3 linked regions of the Caenorhabditis elegans genome follow. The protein of the gene in region 1 interacts with the protein of each later gene in a pairwise test. Each region holds a gene or a part of one and is shown in the gene's direction. Other genes may lie near its edges.

The links.
Region 2: the proteins of vps-39 (region 1) and pas-3 interact in a two-hybrid assay, tested with the Caenorhabditis elegans proteins (one study listed by BioGRID).
Region 3: the proteins of vps-39 (region 1) and lgg-2 interact in a two-hybrid assay, tested with the Caenorhabditis elegans proteins (one study listed by BioGRID).

The regions. Positions count from the first base shown.
Region 1 is NC_003283.11:14,031,745-14,042,379, reverse strand, and holds vps-39 (Vacuolar protein sorting-associated protein 39 homolog), read left to right. Parts: upstream 1-4,007; 5' UTR 4,008-4,030; coding exon 4,031-4,103; intron 4,104-4,150; coding exon 4,151-4,216; intron 4,217-4,266; coding exon 4,267-4,475; intron 4,476-4,523; coding exon 4,524-4,666; intron 4,667-4,710; coding exon 4,711-5,003; intron 5,004-5,055; coding exon 5,056-5,424; intron 5,425-5,468; coding exon 5,469-5,758; intron 5,759-5,803; coding exon 5,804-6,335; intron 6,336-6,382; coding exon 6,383-6,975; intron 6,976-7,574; coding exon 7,575-7,787; 3' UTR 7,788-8,057; downstream 8,058-10,635. Other genes in the region: ins-10 (INSulin related), read right to left, coding at 8,059-8,132, 8,189-8,372. UniProt on the Caenorhabditis elegans protein: Plays a role in vesicle-mediated protein trafficking to lysosomal compartments including the endocytic membrane transport and autophagic pathways.
Region 2 is NC_003279.8:5,104,019-5,111,432, reverse strand, and holds pas-3 (Proteasome subunit alpha type-4), read left to right. Parts: upstream 1-5,384; 5' UTR 5,385-5,387; coding exon 5,388-5,760; intron 5,761-5,806; coding exon 5,807-6,186; 3' UTR 6,187-6,323; downstream 6,324-7,414. Other genes in the region: Y110A7A.15 (uncharacterized protein), read left to right, coding at 1-57; Y110A7A.21 (MARVEL domain-containing protein), read left to right, coding at 300-313, 365-443, 576-743, 788-892, 1,154-1,294; aap-1 (SH2 domain-containing protein), read right to left, coding at 1,486-1,923, 2,004-2,435, 2,663-2,928, 3,110-3,369, 3,417-3,589; use-1 (Vesicle transport protein USE1), read right to left, coding at 3,875-4,012, 4,062-4,237, 4,286-4,420, 4,465-4,552, 4,812-4,887, 4,938-4,993, 5,045-5,140; chp-1 (Cysteine and histidine-rich domain-containing protein 1), read left to right, coding at 6,522-6,597, 6,642-6,922, 6,969-7,253, 7,303-7,414.
Region 3 is NC_003282.8:10,933,264-10,937,439, reverse strand, and holds lgg-2 (Protein lgg-2), read left to right. Parts: upstream 1-1,536; 5' UTR 1,537-1,578; coding exon 1,579-1,684; intron 1,685-2,302; coding exon 2,303-2,471; intron 2,472-2,522; coding exon 2,523-2,676; 3' UTR 2,677-3,244; downstream 3,245-4,176. Other genes in the region: lsm-7 (U6 snRNA-associated Sm-like protein LSm7), read right to left, coding at 3,330-3,435, 3,524-3,632, 3,760-3,853, 3,908-3,913. UniProt on the Caenorhabditis elegans protein: Ubiquitin-like modifier involved in the formation of autophagosomal vacuoles (autophagosomes). When lipidated mediates tethering between adjacent membranes and stimulates membrane fusion. Less effective at promoting membrane fusion than lgg-1.

The DNA.
Region 1 (10,635 bases):
AAAATTAGAGATAAAGGAATAGAAATGGAATCGCAGCACTTTTTTAAAATAAAAAAATTTATGTTGTCAAGGGAATAACCTATTTTGGGTTTTAGTTTAAGAATGGTACTCGCGATAGTTAATGGCGATGTATCTACTGGGGACGGTGTGCTCTCACAGGAAGGAAAAGTTGGGAAGGGTGGATCATGAGTAACAAAACTTTTTGAAAACTCTTTAACTAATACTTCCGCCATTTCAATCGGTTTATCAACATTATTATTGTCTACAGAGAAATGAGTGAGAGAACTGGAAGGCTTTATACGATTTCTAATGTAAGAGAATAGACTTTTAGAGTTCTTAGAGTGAATTAATTTATTTTCAAAAGCCATATTTTTCTTTTTGAGGAATTTTAATCTTGATTTAACTCTCTTTTTCAAAACTGAGGATTCAGTGTCTGGGTGATGCTTACGAAGTTTTCTGTATAATTTCCTACCTGTAACTTTTGGACTTTGAACTCTTAATGTTGGATATTGGGGAGTGAAATCAGAGATAAGCTCATTAAAAATGTTGAGAAAATGATTAAGCTTAGAATCAGGTGGAGCAAAGAATGATAGCTGTTTAGGCCAATTGTATGACACCATGTATCCATTGAGGTTGAAAAAATCACATTTTCTGAAATTCATAAAAGACTTGGGAGGGGCAGAATGAGCAGGAGTGGGCTGGGGGAGAGATAAGGAGAAGAAAATGGAAATATGATCTGAGTTTATAAATGGAGTACCCGGTTTTAAATTTTGTAAAACACCGGAATTATTTGTAAATATGAGATCAAGAAACGTGCCACTGTTTAATTTGGAAAACCGAGTCGGAAAATTTACCATTTGTGCCAGATCATGAAATTTCATCCAATTATAGAAATACTCAGAGCCCGTGGGAAGAAAATTTGAATTCCACTTGGTGTTTGCAAAATTGAAATCACCGAGGAGGACATAAGTATAGGAGGGGCAGTCGAGAAGCTGGTTTAGATTTTTAAAGAGCTCAGCGGTTCTACTTGCGGTAGTGGATGGGGGCGGTATATCAGTATAAATCTAGTTTTGGATTGCTTATGGTCTAATGCCAGAATTTGACAAAAATGCGAGAGATAAAAGGAAGGTGCAATTGAGACAGGCGTAAGAGCCCATTTTTTATGAAAAAACACAGCAGTACCTCCGCCGCATTTTTTGGATGGCACTCAAGCCGATCAGATCTTATGCAGGTATAGTGAGGTGAAGAGCATGAGAAATCAGTAAAAGCATTACTTAGAAATGTTTCGGTAACAAACAAGATGTCTAAACTATTAGAGGCTACGAACTTATGGACAAATTCAAGTTTTTCAAGCGATGCAATGGAACGAGCATTAGCCTACATGCAATTAACCAGCTTGGGCTTTGAAACACAGACGAGAGCCGCCTTTGAGTTATGTTTAAGTTTTGTATTTAATTGTGATGTTTGTTGTGTTGGGATGTCATTTGAAAGAGGCGTTAAATCATTCAGTGTCAGGCGGCCGTCTCCCTATGCGGCGAGAGGGATTGAAATTGGGTTCATCGGAAAAGGACGAGGATAGATCAGGTCCACAATTTCAAGATCCCGGATAACGTGCGCAATGCAGCCCGCAGCCTGGTTCGCTTCGTAGGCCTCCTTACGGAGTTCACGAAGCGCGACAAGCTCGAGGGGAGTCAAGTCCCTACGCGCACGGATCGGTCGAGGAGATTGCGGAATAGAGGAAAAGTTGCGCCAATTTTTATAGAAACCGGTAAGAAATTCATCGCGAAGGGATTCAGAATTGAAACGAACTTTAGTTGGCCGGGAAATGATTTTGGAATTTTTGGTAGCAACTCTAAAAACTTCAGTGGGAACAGGGAGAGAGAATTCAAGGGAGAAAGATTTAACCAGATTAAAATCGGAACTAACTTGATCCGGGTTTTTCGCATCGGGCAGGTTTTCCAGAACAGCTAGATTCGATTTCTTCTCAAAGGAATGAGCAGTAGATACCAGATTAATCGATTCGACAACTTTCTTCAGCACAGGGTTCTTCTTCATCACCGAGGAATATAGATCACGATTCGCTGGCTTCTGATTGTAGACATTGCTGTTTGAAAGAATTGACGGTTCAGTAGAGGGGCATTTCAGATATTCCATCACCACCAACACCTTCATCCACTTCTTCGCCTGGAACGACGGGATTTTCTACAAAAATCGGATTTTTTCTCTATGTCAGTTTAATTGATGTATAATTCCGAAAAGTCAGTCTTTCCTAGGTTTTTAAATTGAAACATTTCAGATATTCCATCACCACCAATACCTTCATCCACTTCTTCGCCTGGAACGACGGGATTTTCTACAAAAATCGGATTTTTTCTCTATGTCAGTTTAATTGATGTATAATTCCGAAAAGTCAGTCTTTCCTAGGTTTTTAAATTGAAACATTTCAGATATTCCATCACCACCAACACCTTCATCCACTTCTTCGCCTGGAACGACGGGATTTTCTACAAAAATCGGATTTTTTCTCTATGTCAGTTTAATTGATGTATAATTCCGAAAATTCAGTCTTTCCTAGGTTTTTAAATTGAAACATTTCAGATCGTCCACCACGTCCACCATCTTCATCAGCTTCTTCGTCTCCAGCTCCTGGATCTGCCAAAACCCCTATTTTTTTTTCTTGGTCAGTCAGATTTATGTAAAAATCCGAAAAGTCAGCCTTCCCTAGGTTTTTAAATTAAAACATTTCAGATATTTCATCACCACCAACATCTTCATCAACTTCTTCATCTCGAACTCCTGGATTTCCTACAAAAATCGGATTTTTTTCTCTTGGTCAGTCAGATTTATGTAAAAGTCCGAAAATTCAGTCTCCCCTAGGTTTTTAAATTGGAAAATTTTCAGATAGTCCACCTCCACCGCCTTCTTCATCCACTTCTTCGTCTCGAACTCCTGGATTTTGCAGAAAAGGGCGACCCACCTCCACTGCACAAAATGCGTCCGCTCTCTTAATAACTTTGTTAATATTTATTTTTTTTAAGTTTAATTATAATAAAGTGAATAATATTAATAATAAATTTTCCAATTTATAAACGTATTATATTGTCTTCTCAATGCACTGATGATGTGTAGAGTTCTGCTGATTTTCGATTCCTGAAAAAAAACAGGCTACGAATGTTTCCAAGTCGACTTGAATATTGTCTTTTTTCCCAGCTTTTTCCGAGGAGTGGCCCTCATGATATTTTGTAGTCTTATCTGTGATTTTTGGAATGTGAAAAAAATTTATTTTTTTTCAAGAATTTAATTTTAATTTTTTTTTTCAGCATTTTTGGTTAAAAATTTTCTTCCAAAATTTACAAATTCAGTGCGAAACGATCAATTTTCCATACAAAAATATTGGAGGCATGAAAAAACTAAATTTGAATGCGCGCGAAAAAAGTGTTCAATGGAGCGCGTTTACTCGTCGAGCACTTCGGGAAGAGGGGGTACGTTTTCGTAAGGGGATTTTTTCGTAAGGAACGCTTTCAGTAGGGCAATGTGCGGCGCGCCTTTTCGCAAGCCCGCCGCACAGTCCTTCGCAATGCGCCGCACGGCTTTTTGCAATGCGCCGCACGCTTCTTCGTATTTATTTATTTATTTTTCCAACAGGAAATTTCGAACGGAATTCAATTAAAAACGGATTTTTAATGGAAATTAATTAGTTTTATTCGAGCTAAATACGGATATTTTCAGAATTTTCGATGACAAAAACGGGTTTCAATCGATTTCGAATCGATTGCGAAGGACTGTGCGGCGGGCTTGCGAAAAGGCGCGCCGCACATTGCCCTACTGAAAGCGTTCCTTACGAAAAAATCCCCTTACGAAAGCGTACCCCCTCTTCGGGAACGATAATTTGAAGTCTGTTTTTTCGAGACACAAATAATTGTTTTGATTATTCGGCATTATTTATTTGCGAAAATTTATTCTTCTCTATATTACTGTCATAATTTTCAGTTTTAATTTCATTTCAGGTACTTCGACCCACCAAAGCAAAATGTACGATGCATACACGCCTTGCGAAGTAGCTCTCCGATTACCCGTAGAAGTAACATGTCTTGCATTTCAAGGTTTTCAATATCAAATCACTGGAATTTACAATCATGATTGCTTTCAGAATCGAATCAAACCTTGTTAGCCGGTGGAAGAGCAGGACATCTCTATGCATACACAATTTCAGCTAGTAATATTTAATCGTCAAGAAATCTATTTCTAAATATTGATAAATTACAGATCGTCGTGGATTCGAGCTCACAAATATCTGCAAAAGCTTTCACAAGAAAGCAGTAATGGAACTGAAAGTTTGCCAACGTGAAGATCTCCTTTTGTGCGTGTCCGACGGTCAATTGATGGCTCACAAGCTCAGCGATCCAGAGTATAAAGTTGAAACATTAATTCACAAAGTGAAGCCTGTTCAGACTTTTGCAAGATTTTCACCCAAGGTTCATTGGAAACTTTCCGAATTTTCTATTCAATATTTTTGTTTTCAGACATCTGGAGACCTGTACGTAATTGTTTCGTCACGAAAGAAGTTATATTTATTCAAATGGGGAGAGAAAGATGGCCACAAAGAATTTATAGAAGTTGCATTGGATTATAATCCAGTTTTCTTGGATACTCCAACATCTATAAGGTACAAAAGTTTATGAAACAAATTAAAGATAGAATAAATTACAGATGCGTTGGTGAAATGGTATTCTTTTCTGTTCGAAACGAGTATTTTTCTATGACAATGCAAAAAGATAAGACAACCACTTCGCCAAGTGAAGGTTCAACTCCGGAAGGATGGAATGGTTTTGTAACTCGTCTTTTAAATTTCAACTGTCAGCCTGGCATTGTGCCAATGATCGATCGAAGAAGAGTTGCATTTGTGAGGAATGAAATAGTTGTAACCACTGATATTTGGGGACAACGTCCGGCAAATGTATTAAGTGACGAGTACAAGTTCAGCGAAGTTCCCATGCAAATCGGTAACTTTATTGTGGAATTAAATTATTTAATTAGTTACCTATAAATTTCCAGTATACGATTCACCTTACTTGGTTGGAATGCTCTCAAAAGGCCGCGTCGAAGTTCGTTCAATTTTCGATGGTCAACTTGTACAGACAATGTCCCTCCCGAAGGCTATGACACTCTGCAGTGGTGCTCGTGGACAAGTGTTCGTCGCTGCTCTTTCCGATATTTGGATTCTTGATACTTCACAAAATCTTCGAAAAAACGTGTCTCATTTGATACAGGAACGTCATTTCGAGCTAGCAATTCAATTGGCTGAAAATTCGAATTTATTTGCAGAAGAACAGAAATTAGAAATTAAAAAGAAGGCTGCATTGAATTTATTCAATCAGAAGAAGTTTGACGAGTCATTCGCATTATTTGGAGAAATTAAAACCGGTTAGTGCTTCATTTCACATAAGAAAATTAAAATTTTTTTTGAGATATTTCAGAAGTGCTCTCAATTATTCGAATGTTTCCCGAGCTTCTTCCAGATGGATTTCAATCAATGACCGGAGTTGTCAGTGATATGCCTGCTAACGACAGAATGCGTGCTCTTTTGGCTCTCGGTAGTTATCTATCTGAAATTCGAACTGAACACGCGAAGCATATTGAATTATACAATCGTTTGTACTCATCGGGAGCGGCAAAGAAAACTGATGAAGATGAGAAGGCAAAGCTCTTGTTGACATTGAGAGTTGTAGATACAACACTTCTAAAGTGTTATATTAAGGTTTTTCGAATAATTATGGAAAATTAAAACAAATTAAAATTTCAGACGAAACCAATGCTTGTGGATTCTCTAATTCGTCTTCAAAGCAACGCGTGCACATTTGAGGATGCAAAGAAGATCCTCGAATCTGAAGGACGTCTCCGATCTTTATTCATTCTTTACGAAACCCGCAAAAAGCATGAAATGGCTCTCGATTTGTTTATCGATCAATCTAGCCGCCCGGATGCTGATCCATTTTTCGATGATGCTATTCAACAAATTGTCGAATATCTTCAAAGTCTTGGAAATAGCAATTTGCCACTAATTCTAAAGTACGCAAAATGGGTACTAGCCAAAAATTTGGAAGCCGGAGTTCAAATATTCACTAGTGACGAAACAGAAATGGCTAGAAATTTAAATCGAAAAGCCGTCGTGGAATTTTTGAAATCCGAATGCCCGGATGCACTGATTCCGTACTTGGAGCACGTGATTTTCAAATGGGAAGAACCTTCTTCATATTTTCACGAGACACTTTTGGAATTCTATGTGGCACGAGTCAACACTTTGTTTAAGGATTATGTACACGCTTTCCCAGACGGTATGTTGATTCATAGCACAACAAAAAAAAAATACAACCTCTAAAAGCATTTTCAGATGAGAATATCACTCGCGCGGGAGACGAGGATGGCGAGCTGGGCCTCTACCGAAAACGACTTTTGAAATTTCTCGAAGTTTCCCATTCATACAGTCCACAAACAGTGCTTCTTCAACTAGCACCACATGCATTTTACGAGGAAAGAGCTCTGATTCTTGGACGACTGAAACAACACGAGCAGGCGCTTGCTATATATGTGAATACACTGAAGAATGTGCCTGCAGCAGAGGAGTACTGTAGACTCTACTACAATGCACACGATGAGACCAATTCACAGGTGTATCTGATGCTCTTCCGAACTCTGGTACATCCAAATCAGCAACAACTGCACTCGATTCCTTATCACGCCGATTCGACTCCATTCGGATCATATCGTGATGATGTTTCTGAAGCATCAACGTTAGTCAACTCTACATCATCGTATCAACCAGATGTCAATACAGCAATCAAGATTCTGGCAAAACATGCAGATAAAATCGATACAGTTGGAGCATTGAATATGCTTCCAGCCACCACTCCGCTCAGAGTCGTGTTCTCGGCAATTAACGCGGTGATTCAAACTACCGGACGACAAGCGAGCACTGTAAGTTTCAGAGATGCGTTCATTATTTTCTTTTCTATTATAATTGTCCAAGGTTTTGACATGCCTTCTTGAAAGCGCACGAATGTATTCAGATGGGTCTTGGCGCGCAATAAAGTTTATGGTAGTCTTTTTTGCAGCTGCGTTATCTTTTATTTTCCCTGAGCTTTTTCATAATTTTTTCTTAATATTTTTTTAAGGCCTACAAACAGAAAAAATGCGCATTTTAAATTGGAAAACATATTTTTCACTTTAAAAATTGATTTTAATAATTTTTTATCAGAAAATGAAACGTAAACATATAATTTATCTTTTTAAAAAAGGAAATCGGCGAGAGAGCAGCCGAAAAAAAAAGACTACATTAAACTTTTTTGCGCGTAGAGACCCATTTGAAAAAGACTATGCGCCTTTAAGCAGGCATGTCAAATTTTGTGAAATTACAATAAGCAATATCTTGGACTCTGATCGAATTTCCGGTTGAATTTAGGATGTTTACAGAATTAAACACACTTTCAATGATCAAACTGTTGCGTATACTCTACGTAGATAAAATTGTTTACAAAACCTCCAATCTTTAAGCTTTATATCTAGAAAATTTTCAGCGAAAAATGGAAAAATCTGTGTCCCAATGTGCAATGTCAAAGAAGCTGGAGCGCAAAAACAAGGCGCAATCTACTAAAATCATCGTCAATTTCTCAAGTGAATGTGTTGTTTGTGAGAAGAAAATCGCTGTAAGCGCATTTGTCCGGTATCCGGATGGTCGATTGGCACATCTCTACTGCCATAATGATTCTCAAGGAGGAAACAGAAATTGAAAGGAAGTACGGTACCTAGTACCTGAAATGTACTAATTTTTGTATCTATAAGACGTATTTTTGTATAGATTTTTTACTGATTTTATGTGCCTTTATCCTTGTAACAACTTGTCACATCACATGTCTTCTAGTCCCCTTTTACTTTTTTCTCATTCCAGCGCACTCACTTTTATTGTACGTGTAACATTCTCTTGTATACAAATCTGTCCATTTATTCCATTTTACAAAATTCAAAATAATTCAATGAAAAGGCAAAACGACGAATTATATATTATAAAACGGAGCAGCAGGAGATCCGGATTTCTTCCCAGGAGCACAGTCCGGTGCAACAGTCTGTCAATGCTCCTGAAAATTTCATTTTGAATAGGAACTTTTAAAAAATTATTTTCTCAACAACTTACCAATCTCAGTGATTTTATTTACTTGTGCACACTGCTCTGGATTGATGATTCTGCACATTTTTTCCATTTTTTTGACACAAATTTGGAATGGAAAAGCTGCACTTGTTCTGGGAGCCAATGTTACGAGGAGCAAGAATGAGATTAGAAGAATTGTTTTTTGAATAGTGGAGAAATGCAGTGACATTGTTAGAAGTGCTGGAAATTGTGATAAAGTCCAAATGAACGGGCAAATAAAATGTATTAAATCCAAGGACAAACCGAGGGTGGAGCTCTGATTTTGGAAGCATTCTGGAAAAGTGGAAATGGGCGGCGCCGAGTTTTAATGGAATCACGAGATTCAGAGGGTGGAGAAACTTGAGAAGAAGTTGTCTGGAGGATAAGGAAATGGGGATATACTTTTAAAGAAGAATTCCCGACATCTAGACTAACAGACATACAGATCAGGAATTTTTTTTTGAAATTTATGTTTAAAAATTGGAAATTTTTTCTGAAACTTGAGTTTCATAATTTAGTAATAAGGTTATCAAATTTTATTTTTGATAAGAGTCTTCATATTACGAAACAAGGTCCTGACACGAACAAAGTTTTTTCAAACTACCGTACCCAGGATGCAAAAGCAGCAGGGTTACGGTAGGTGAGAAGTTTTGTTCGTGCGAGGACCCAAGACGACAATTTGCTGCAAAGATTTTTCAAAGAATTCAGCGGAATTTTTGGAAAATTGCCAAATTTTCAAAAATTGTGACTTTCGAAAATTAAAACAAAATTAAACAATAAAAATCGTAAAGACAACATTTCGGCTTTCCAAATTGACACAACATTTTTTTCTATTTCAGAAAATCATAATCTTATGCCAAAGTTCATAGAAAGTTCCTTTCCACGTTTTTGGTAATTGGATCTCTCTCTGACCAATTTGATGGAACAAAGTTTCCCAGTCTGAAATATGATCAGTTCCTTATTTTCCACGTTTGGAAGTTTGATTTTTTGTTCGGAATTTGTCGGATTTGTCACGGAATCAAAAACTTAAAACATGAAAAAATGAACGAAATTTGACACCGACATAAACAGATGATAGTCACACACCCCCTACTACATTTTTTTTCTCCAATTTTGGTTCATGATCCGAAAGAAAAGGGCATATTATTAGTAATTGGATATTTGATGACGATGCTCTTTACGACATAAATCGACGACAAAAACATTCCAAGATCAGAAATCGGAGAAACTTCTGGACGAACGAGAAGACGTAGAAGTTGTTAAAACAGAAAAACATATACATTTACAAGTTTTGTACATGAAAATAGATGACGTCATAATACTTTTGAGAGTTTTGAATTATGGTAGGACAAATATTGTAGATGTTGTCAGAAAAAGTATAAATACCCTAGCTTCTGGTAATGAGAAGCTGACCTAAAATTTTAGTAAACTCGAAGAAAGAAAATGTATTACTCAAAGTTTTTCAAACGATTCAAATTTGTTTTGATTGATATTTATTGTATGCACACTGTGTGCGTCAATGAAAAATTCTGTAAAACATTTTCACTACAAATGTAACTGATCACTAGTCGTATTTCGATCAAATTGAATCGAATTTAATGTTAGGGAATTTCAACTAGCAAATGCTCCAAAATGCATGCCATCCAGTGTATTGAAGTGATCCATCAGATACAAATTTCATTGACATGTAGCTTCTTGGAGAAATGTAGTTGAATGGAGCTACCGATTGTCCGGATAATCTGAATGAGTGGAATATTGATTGGTATATTTAAACTATTTTTAACGAGAAAATTGTGAAGTTTGGTTTTGCTCCGTGCTATTGTATTCATAGTCTAATATTTTCAAAATTTAAAAATGGTGAAGGGTCGATAAACTCGAGAGGGAGCAATAAAAAGTGATTAAACTATTTTCAAACATTGATAGCAATTCTTTTAGTCAACAATTTTGGAAAAGTTCAATTAGTTCAGAAATGTAAGTCACGTCGTTGTTGTATCTATAGTTTTTTAAAAACACATTTAGAAATATTATTAATGAGGAAAATTGAAACTTTTATAGTAGACAGGCACGTCTTCAGATGGTCGTACCAACCCGTCATTTATTAAAAAGTAAAAACTTACGTGGTTACAAGAGTACTATTCGACTGTGTAGTGCTGTTATAAATATTTAAATAATCATTTTTGTTCTGCGTTCGGAATACATCAATTGATAATTGACCTGCATTCCCCAGGCAACACTTATTTGATAGACTTGTTCATCGTATGAATCATAGGTTAATGGATAATTGGGTGAAATCATTGCCCCATTTGATCCACTTTGACTTATAACTGGCATATTCTTCATTGCCTTCCACGTCGCCAACCATCCTTTATCGGTAAGATCATAATTTGTCTTGAATCTAACAGACATCATGTTCGAAGACGATTCAAATCCACAAGCCAAATTGTATGAAGATA
Region 2 (7,414 bases), on another chromosome or scaffold:
CAAGGATTTTATCAAGCAAATGCTCGTCGAGGTGAATTCAAACGTTCACAATTTTGAGTTTTGTCGATTTTTCTGGATGTTCTCGTTTGAACCAGCATTTCATTTCACTTTCTACCCGACGTTTTTTTTATAATTGTTCTCTTTCTGTTCAATTTTTTTATTCAAATAATTCTTCAACATTCATAAACTACCTCCCCCCTATAATAAGCTCTCCCTATTAAATCAATATAATATTGACTCATAATTTCTTATCAGTTTTTATTGAGTCAACAACTCTCATTTCTAGACACTCTTTCCCCATGCATCCATCGAGGTGAACATTTGAGTTTCGATTCTTTTAATGTTTTTTATCCATAACTTTCAGAAAATCTGCATTTCCAAAACCTAAATTTGAGGTCTGGAAATTTGCAAAGTATTCCTCTGCTCTACAGATTTTTCAAATTGTGAGTTATTTCAAGTACTTTTTATCTGTTGTTGTTGAATAGTTTTAGTTTAGTAATGAACGTATTTTTAATATATATATATATATGTTTTGTGCAAGAAACCAAAAACTTAAAATTAGCATGGAATTCTAGTTTGGAAGCTTCGTATCCCTTGTGCTCATTGGACTTGTTGGCTCACAGTTTGCTCCAACATATGCTGCTCTTTTGACATGCGTCTTCGCAATAATCGGATCATCTGTATTTTTGTTGTGCGATGTTTTTAATATTAATGAGACTGAACCAGATGAATGGGTTTTTTGGGTAAGAATATATTGAATTATTTATTTTTTTCGAGTTTTCTACAGGAAAGCGTCTTCATTTCATCATTCTCATTTTTGTTCACAATCAATACACTGACCATGTTGTACAGTTCGATTCGATGGAATAATACGGCCTGGTGGCTGGCAACGGTATGTTATGCAAAATGTGAAAACGCGCTCCACGGCAATTGACAACGCCCGCCCCCAAACCATGGGTCTCGTTAGATATTTGTCGGCAAAACCGTAAATTCAAACTTTTTGACTTAATTCCGCCACTTTGGCGAAATAAGCAAAAATGAAAATAAAAACATTTGAATGTACGGATTCGCCTCCAAATACCTAACGAGACCCATGGTTTGGGGGCGGAGCGTTTTCAAATTGCCGTGGAGCGCGAAAGAAAATCAATTTCAGGTTGTCTGCGCTTTGGTGACAGTCTCGTTTCTTCTCAGTCTGTTACATGTGATGAAAAACCAAACGAAAGGTCATATTACTGTTAAACAGGAGGAGAATGTTGTGCGATTTAATACGCGGATGAACCGCCGACGGATTTGAATTTATATCAATAAATGTACAATTTGACAATTCATATAAATACTGATAATAAATACATTTAAGACACAAATAAAACGTAAGTAACTTAGAAGAAAGTGATCAGAGAACTGTGGGTTTACTATCAGATCGGATGGGGGACAAGTGGATGTAATTGAACCGAGTATATGTAAGTAATTGATTTAAATATATAACTATTCCGGGATGGATTTAGGAAGAGTAGTTGGATGAACCAATCGGGAATCAGATGATGAAGGAGTATCCGGAGATGGAGAATCCCATGAATCCGGTCTTGGTTCCGGTGATTCAGGTGGCTTAGTGGGATCATCAGTGAGAAGAGCCTTCTCCATATATTTCCTGGATATTGGCAAAGCCGTAAAAACTTGTCCGGGTCCGTTACGAAGAGGTTTTGAAGTATCACTTGTGACAGCGTCAAATGCGGGCGTACGAAGTGGAGTTTTGATAGCATCCGCGTGGGTTTCAAGACTGAAGTGAGAGTAATAGCGAACGAAGTCACTTATAGTTGTCAGGTAGACATTGCTGTGCTCGAATCCCCATCCTTCTTCGTTTTGTTCGATTAGACAATGTGAGACACGTTCTCCGTGAAGTACACTCAATACGAGCTTATCACCCTGAAAAATATTCAATTCAATTCAAAAATTAGCGTGAATGAGGATGAAAAGTTATTCTTCTGATAAAATCATAAACTAACATGAGAAGAGGATCCTCGAATCAAGAAAATACCATCTTGTGGCTCTCTTTTCAATCCAACAGCCTTGTCAAGTTGAGCGATCCGATAGCGAGCATGAATCAGAGCATTCGCAGCATTTTCCTTAGAAGTTCCACACATCAAATATTGTGCCGGTGTCCACTTCAATTCCATATCGACAAGAAGTTGAGTGACTTTCGTTGGCTCACTGTTTATCATTTCCGCTCCAGCATCAAGCATTGCAGCCATTCTCGAACAAAGTGCTGGTTCCATTTTATCATAGACTGCACTACGAAGTTCCATAAGCTTGCAGAGTCGTGTTTTTGAATTGGATCTTTTCATCGCGATTTCATCCAAAATTCCGGAGAGCGTCTTTTTCTTATCCTTTGATGACGTCAGTTCAGTGTTTATTCGTCGAATACTTTCTTCCACAAACTGCAAAATAAAAAAGATAAAATTCAAAACTATAATGGTTAAAAATTGAGGATTTGCTCTAAAATCATTTTTAAAAAACCGAGAAAAAAATTGAGCAAAAATTAATAATCCAGCTTTGAAAATATTGAGTTTTGGCTAAATAACAATTTTAAATTGAACTTCTTTTTTTTGCTTTAGAATTGTTTTTTTTTGGTTTTGGATGTTTTTTTTCTTCAAAAAACGCTTACTGTCTTATTATTTGCAAATGCTCCTTTGAGCATTTCACTTGTTGTCTGCGATCCCTGTATTTGTGTAACGACGTCTGTTTCAGCTTCTAACAAATTATTCAGTTTTCCAAGTTTAATCTCATTGTCCCGAACTGATTGATTCAAAGCATGATAGAGACTTTCAGCTCGTTCCATTTCTTGATGAGCTGAATCATATAGCTTGGCTCCTCTCTCAAATGCCAAATGTACTGCTCTCAAATTTTCCATTTCCAAGCGTTCTCTCCAATCTAAAAAAAGCATTAAATTTACTAATTTTTATTTTTTTCAATCACTCAGACGCGAAATTTTGCCACTTTCGCGATAAAAATATGGTACGAGGTCTTGAAACGACAAGAGAAATTCCGCAGCAATTAAAGTTTGAAATTACAGTATTTTTAAATTTAGCGTTTGCGTTATAAAATAATTTACCATGATCATTTTTTGCACTGAGAATCATACGCTGCTGAAGTTGCCCCTTCTTGAAAAATGGTTTTCCATTTTGAGAGTTACGACGAACAGAAACTGGATATAAAAGACGAACATCAAGTGCATCATTGAAAATATTGAGAGAAATATTTCGATGAAATTCAATTAATCTGACAACAGAATCGTGAGTTAATGAATCTGTATTGAATCCGCATTTTCCATCTTTAACAACGATTCGGAGAAGTTTCACTTGGGCGGCAAATCTGAAAAAAGGACTATTAATATTGAATACTAATTTTGAAAAACCCACTTCACAGAAAGTGTATAATCTCCAGGTGTACTAGCATTTCTCACAATAAATGATCCATCAGGTTGATCAGAAAGTGCTTTCGAAACTGCAGATCTATCAGCATCAGCCCAGTACCATCCTTGTTCCATAAGACTATGAGTGACTCCATGAGGAGTTCCAGGTGTTGTGCTCATTCTGAATCCTTATATATATATATATATATATAATTAACGGAGGAGAAGAATCTGTGGTGTTTTTGCCGAAGTAGACTAAATCTGGCACAAGACCAAGCCGAGACCAAAAAGCAAAGCATTGAAATTTGTGAAAACACCAAAAAAAACCAACAAAAAAAGTATGTATAACATGGTCTGTAGACCAATGGAAATATCAACGAGAAAAAAAATTCGAAGAATGCAAATAATTAAATAATTTTATTTGAAATATTTACACCCATAAATACTAGCAATTCGTCCCGACTATTAAGTGCTCGCTTTTTTGAAAATTTTCATCATAAGAACCATTGATACGAAGCTCATAAAAATCAGAACAATGAGCATGACCTTGAAACAGTCATAACCACATTTGTAGGCGTGACGCTCAACTCGCTCACTTTGAATCTGGAAATTTTAAGACTATTATTTGAAGTTTATATAGTGAAGAAATTACCCCGAGAGCTGTTTTATTATCATCGACTTCTTTCGCCATTAATATTGCTCTTTCTGTATCTTCTTTAATCACATCTCCAGCAGCCGACATCATCGTTTTGAATGATCTCGCCATAGTGGCCAAACTATTTGCTAGCTCCTCCTCGACAAGCTCATTTTTCATGAATTCCTGATCTTCTATAAAATTTGACGAATTTTGAACAATCATTGGATACTAATTTTTACCAGATGTGTCTTGTGCTCTATGTTTATTAGATGAAAGCAACTGCTTCCGAAGATCTGATCGATAGATGGATCGTTGAGTAGCTCGGAGTCCAGCTGCGGATTCTTTTTCAAAATCGTAACTTTCCGCCTCGTTATCTGCAATATAAACATTAAAATGAAATATTGAATAATTCAAAAACCATTCTTGGAGTCTGCAACAGTTACTTGGACATCGGGAAATACACGTGGAATTTTTTCAATCACTTTCAGGCGCTCCTCGGCTGACGACTGGAAAACTTACTGACAATTTCATAACAGTTGCGAAATTCACAAAATATTTAAAGCTGTTCAACTTGTTTTCTTTACTTAAATCTAAATTGAAAAGAGGGACATAAAATCTACGGAACATTTGCATAATATTTTAGGATTAAATTTTTAATTGAAACAAATCAAACAAATTCAAATTAAGTTTAGAAATTATGTAAAAATTTGTATCTTTAAAGCAAAATTACAAGATCGAATTTGCTTGTCTAAAATATCTACAAACCTTGCTTTCAGCTTCAGCGAGTAATTTCAGTTGCAAGACTTCCTGTCGGTACTCGTGGAGAATATCATTTGTGGTTCTGGAAAAGTAAAACTATAAATATTAAAAAATGTATTTTGAAAAACTCACTCATCGTTTTGAAGTGTATAAATCATTTTATTGAGAATCTTTGTAGCTGCAGAAACCTGAAATAAGAAAAATAATTAATTAAACAGAACTTAAAATGTGATACTTGCTTTCCAAACGTTTGCTGACATATCCTCTTTTGTCAAGCGCTTTGTTCGCTCGAGAAGTCGTAGAAATTTCAGCTCATTTTCAGAAATATACGCCATTTCATTGATGTTTTGACAAAATTAGATAAAAAAATAAAAATAAACGTTGACAACTTGAAAACAAATAAGTTCGGCCACGGCCGAGAAATACAAAAATGCAAATGCGCTCATGCGCGAAAAAATTTTCAAGTCATCCTTTTTGTCGAGGACTGAGAGATTCTTCTTGTTTTATGTAATTTTTCTATAGGTTTCTGCCGTTTATATTTTAAAATCATATTTGTCTAGATTATCTTTATATTTTCAGAGAATGGCCCGTCGTTACGATAGTAGAACGACCATCTTCTCTCCGGAGGGAAGACTGTATCAAGTCGAATATGCTATGGAGGCTATCAGCCATGCTGGAACTTGCCTCGGCATTCTCTCATCGGAAGGAATCGTCGTTGCTGCTGAGAGAAAGAACGTTCACAAGTTGCTGGATGATTCTGTCATGACTGAAAAGGTCTACCGTCTTTCGGACAACATCTCGTGCACTGTCGCTGGTATCACCGCCGACGCGAACATCCTCATCAACCACTTGAGATGGTGGGCTGCCAGCTATCGTAACAGTTACGGAGAGGAAATGCCAGTTGAGCAGCTCGTCCAGAATCTTTGCAATGAAAAGCAGAGATACACGCAGATTGGTTTGTTGATAACTTCTCTCTTGATTTCTATTAATATGATTTTCAGGAGGAAAGAGACCGTTCGGAGTGTCACTTCTCTATATCGGATGGGATAAGCACTACGGATATCAACTTTACCAATCTGATCCTTCCGGAAACTACACTGGATGGAAGGCAACCTGCATCGGAAGCAACCACCAGGCTGCCGTAACCTTGTTGAAACAGGAGTACAAATCCCCAAATCTTGAAGAAGCAAAGCAGTTGGCTATCAAGGTTCTCTGGAAGACTTTGGATGTGAAGCTCGCTTCCGAGAAAGTTGAGATGGCTGTTTTGACTCGTCGTGATGGAAAGACTGTGCTCGAAGAGCTCACCACCAAGGAAGTCGATGCTCTGATTGCTGAGCACGAGAAGAAAGAAAAGGAAGCTGAGACTGCTGAGAAGAAGTAATCTATTGCCTTTGAAATAATCTTTCAAGACTGTATTGTAAACCATCCTCCCACCCGTTTAATTTATTGTCTGGTTTTATTTCTTATCACCCATATTCCTATCTCAAACGTCGGTGAAAATTAAATATTTGTATTTTTAAATTTTGCTTTCTTTAATTCACCTTGTTGTTGTCCGTGCAAATCTTTGATTATTTGGTCAAGCGAGAGTGCTGGAAAAAAGAAGGAGTGTGCCGCAACATTGCAATGGGCGGAGTCTCGAATTTTCTCGAGCATTTGGGGGAAAACTGGATTATTAAGCCGAAATCTTCAGAAAAAAAATCGCTTTTGCATTTTTAGATGGTTGACGAAAGTAAACTGCAGTGCTATCATAAAGGATGCGGTCTCCTTTTCGATCCCAAGGAGAATGACAACGGTAAGATTAATTGGAAAATAAAAAAAATCAGTTTAATTTTTCAGAAGCTTGTACATATCACCCTGGGGGTCCGTATTTCCATGATGCATACAAGATTTGGACATGTTGTGATAAGAAAAGTACTGATTTCGGTACATGGATGAATTATAAAGGATGTACGCGTGGAAAACACAGCAATGAAAAACCAGTCGATATTGTAAAAGTTGCCGCGGTAAAGGAAATTCGACCAGAGAAAGAAGAAGATGTTATTGTTTGGAAAGGGCTCAATAAATCTGGAAAATTGGATAGCAAGGATGCGACAAAGAGAATTGAGCAAAATTTGAATGTTTGTATTTTTAAATTAAATTTTTTATAACAAACACGTATTGCAGGTTGAAGTGACGCCTGGAGCAACCGCAGCTATTGAGAAAAAGCTGAAAGAAATATCTGAAGCTGCTCAAAGTGCGGATATTCAAATTGGCGCCCCATGTCGAAACAATGGATGTTCTACTGAATTCGATGGATCGAAAAACAAGGAAAACTGTCAGCATCACCCTGGAGCTGCCATTTTCCACGAAGGAATGAAGTATTGGTCGTGTTGTAACAAGAAAACTTCTAATTTTGGAGCTTTCCTTGAGCAAGTGGGCTGCACTTCAGGCGAACATAAGTTCAGAAATGTGAGTTGAAAAAACTTCAAAACTTCAAAAAAAAATCGGCGTTTTTCAGAATGAAATTGTCAGCAAATTCCGAGAAGATTGGTTTTCGAGCAATGGATTTGTCACCATCAACGTGTATTGTAGAGGTGCTCTACCCGAAACCGCAAACATCGTTTCCGATG
Region 3 (4,176 bases), on another chromosome or scaffold:
ATTTTCCAGAACTTATTCATGCATTTGAAGCGAAAACAAGAAAAAAGATCTGCAAATTAATTTTGAGCATGATTCCACCTTTCGCTTCGAGACCAGAGTAAAAAAACGTTAATGCGCCTTTGAGTTACGGTAGTACTGATTAATGGTTTGAACACCAAATGCATTTTTTTTCGATTTTGGCATGTTTTCCTTCTTTTTTTTCAAGTTATATCCGAAAAACCTAATTTAAAAAACTGAATAATCTTTTATCTAAATATTAACCATATAAATATCGACATTCCACTCGATTTCACAAGAAATTTCTTCATCTTTGAAGTTCGTACGCGGAAAATGCTATTAAAGAAAAGAAAATAAACGAGACGCAGACAAATGCACACGGCGTGCGCAGTAACATATCGATTTTGAGACGTAAACATAATTGAGTTCACTAGTCATGAGAGTCTGTTTACTCGTACATCGATTTTTCACTTTTCTTTCTTTCCCCTCATCACTTATTGTTTTGCTCTTTCCATAGTTTCGTCCTCATCTCAAAACTTCTTTCGAAATTATTTAGATACCCGCATTTTCAACAACGGAAAATCTAAGGAAACCCTTAAAATGTCAAAAAAATATCGCAGATTGCCAATTTTTGCTGTGAAATCTTGATCATATTTCATCACTTCTCCCTTTTTCGAAAATCGCGTCAAAGATCTAAAGTTCCGAGAAAAAAGTTTGCAGAAAAAAACGTCAGTTGTTCTGATTGGGAGTAGTAGATTCAGACTGGAAGTTCTAGAGATCATCTGGTTCCCCTGCCCTTTATCTCTCCCTGCCACTATTTTCAAAGTACAAGCACTTTTTTTACGTAGACCGATATAAAAGAGTTGGCTGGTATAGATAAAATCTTTAGTTTTCCGTTAATTTAAACGGCCCATTTTAATATTAGAAATTTTCATTCATAAAACCAAGCATTTTCACACTAGAACATTAGTTGAGAAGTTTTCTAGGAAGTATTCAATTAAAACGTTTTCTCCTATAACTTTCTTAGTGTCGCCAACAAGTCTCGCTGTCATATTTATTTAATTCGTTGCCACTCATCGTTTCAAATTTCGCTATCATTTCATCTGTCTGACACTGCTTCGAACTTCTGTATTAGCTGGGAGAAGGGTCATAATACACACTCTCATCTTCTCTAACTCTATTCTTTCTTTTCCCCATCTATTCCTTCATCACATGATTCTTCTCTTCTCATCGTCTCTCCGTCTCGCGGTCATGTGTCCTCGACGCTCAGTCGATCTTGTGGTGTGAGAAAAGAGAGTAGCATCAATGAAGAGACACAGAGGACAAAGAGACATACAGCAAAAGAGCGTGTGTGCTGCCTACTGCCTCTGTCTCGATTTTTCCCTCTGTCCCATTCCCTTTCACCTGTCTTTTCGCTTCTTGATAAAAAAATTCTCACAAAAACATACAGTGTCCTTTAGCATCTCACACTCTAATTTCTCTTCTAAAATCAGTTTTCTCAACTTTTCAAATACCAGTTACCATTTTTCAAGTTTGCAGATCGAAAATCGGGTCTCAGCACGAAAAAGTGAAGAAGCGTTTATGCTAGCCACGCTTCAAAGTTACACACAAACAGCGATGAGCGGAAATCGGGGAGGATCTTACATTTCCGGAATCGTTCCATCGTTCAAGGAAAGAAGGCCATTCCGTAAGTTTTTTAAAATTCATTTACTAATCAAACAATTGTCATCAAAATAAAAATAGAGCTTCAAGTCTCACTTTAATTTTACTTTAACATCAAACATCTGGTTTTCATCCCAACCAATTCATTCCCAATCATTCCCACTTTTTTTTCCTTCACCCGTCCATTGTAAAAGGTCAGAGACGCAGAGGACAGACACCCCGCGTCATGCGTTTCAGCGAGAGAGCATGAGGAAACAAGAGACAATATGCAAGTGAGACATGTGAAAATCAGCTGATCTTGTGTGAATGAGTGACTATGTCAGTGGAGCAGCACCCATGGAACATTGCGTATTAATTGGGTGCTCTTCGTTGTATGAAAGAAAGAGATAGATGGACCTGAGAAACAAAGATCAATAGGGCAGGTGCAAGGGAAATAGGATTATAGGAAAATTTGGATCAATATTGATATTCTAGAGTTCAAAATATTGCCCACCATTCAAGATAACAACCAAAACTGAACGTACGCCAATCTTTAAATAGAAATATGAATTTTACGAGTGGAAAAGAGAAATCCAGAACTGAGGAACAACTTTTTTATTTTCAAATTTTCGAAAGAAAACCTTTTTAACCTATTCGATTTCAGATGAGCGTCAGAAAGATGTGGAAGAAATCCGCAGCCAACAACCGAACAAGGTTCCGGTAATTATCGAAAGATTTGATGGAGAACGCAGTTTACCACTTATGGATCGCTGCAAATTCCTAGTACCCGAGCATATAACCGTTGCCGAGCTCATGTCAATTGTTAGACGACGGTGAGCTATTCAACTGAGTTGTTTTTTCAAAATCATCCGTTTGCTTTTCAGCCTCCAACTTCATCCACAACAAGCATTCTTCCTGCTCGTCAATGAACGCTCAATGGTGTCAAATTCTATGAGCATGTCCAATTTGTACAGTCAAGAGCGTGATCCAGATGGCTTTGTGTATATGGTTTACACGTCTCAACCAGCATTTGGATAACACATCAAGAGCCGTTTTCCATCACAATTCTAATCAATTTTTAAATTTCCACCAACACCACTGATTGCCCAATGCAATCCTCACTGTAAAATGTTGTATTTTTAAATGTAAATACCTGAAAACCCATCATACTCAGGCGCCAACCATTTTTCTAGTTGCCTTTGCTAATTTCGCCCCTCGCAATTCCCCACCTCAAAACTTCCAGCTGAAATTTGTTTTACAAACGAAAAAAAAGAAACCCAAATTCGCTTACGTTTTCGTGTAGTCTTTATGTGTTCCCTCATAACTCTTTCTCCGCATTTTCCAGCCCGTTTCTTGAATTTCTTCATGTCTTCTTTTCACAACTGATCCTCTTTCAACAAAATTTAAACCGTTTACGATTCTGTGTACTTGGCTAGTCTCTAAAGCCCATAGGGACTATTTTCCTTACTGCCCTGAACATTGAAATTTACCGCTATGGACTTTCTGACTGCCTAGACGGATTCAATTCAAAATTATTACATCTTGTTCCATCGTTACTTTTCCAAATTCAATGTATCAAATGTTTTGTATGTAATAACAACTTTTTCGTCGTTTTTATCTGGAGAATGTTCATTCACAAGGAGATCACATACATATATAATAATAATAAGAGATGATGATGATATCAACGATTATTCTTCTTCCTGGGTTGCGAATGGATTGGCGATTTGCTCGAGTCCATCTGCTGGGCTAACTACTGTAATTGCTGTTCCGCGAGCCACAATAAGACCCAGTTGTCTTAAGATAAAAGATAAGATAAAATCGAAAATCTAGATTTAATTTGAAATCCAAGCTTTAAATCGATTTTTGGAAATCTATCAATTACCTTGTCTCATCACCGACGACCGAAGGATTTTGTGGATCACGGAGATACTCGCGGCAGTCATCAAGAACCATATTGAGCAACTGATCGAATCCTCGAAGCACGCCACTTGCTGAAATTTATACATTTTTATGGAGTGAAGTACAGCTTGTGTATGTTGGACGCTTTCATATTGTTTAAATAGTTTAATGACGGAATCTTATTGCTAGTGCACATCATTGTGCAAAAAAAAAACCAACCTTCACGTCCTCCTTGGAACTTGACGCGAATCTCTTTGTCGAGAAATCTGGTGAGATCAACGACAGACTCCTTCTTTCGTTTTCCTTCGTCTTTCTAAAATAATACAACAATTATAAATAACTTATTCATTGTATTTTTAAAACATACCGACATTTCTCTGTGTTGAGTTGTGGTGAGTCTGAAATAATTCCGAAATTTTGAATGAAATTATCGATTACGAATGAAATAAATTAAGCTGACAAAATCTTATTGATTTAGAATTTTTTTAAACGGTATTTTTAATTGATAAATTATGATTTAAAATTACAAACGTATATAGAGAAGAAAATAAAATAAAGAAAAGAAAAAATAAATTCGAAAAATATTAGCTCAACAACGGTGCTGACGCACTTTTCGAACACACAGCGCACCGGAAA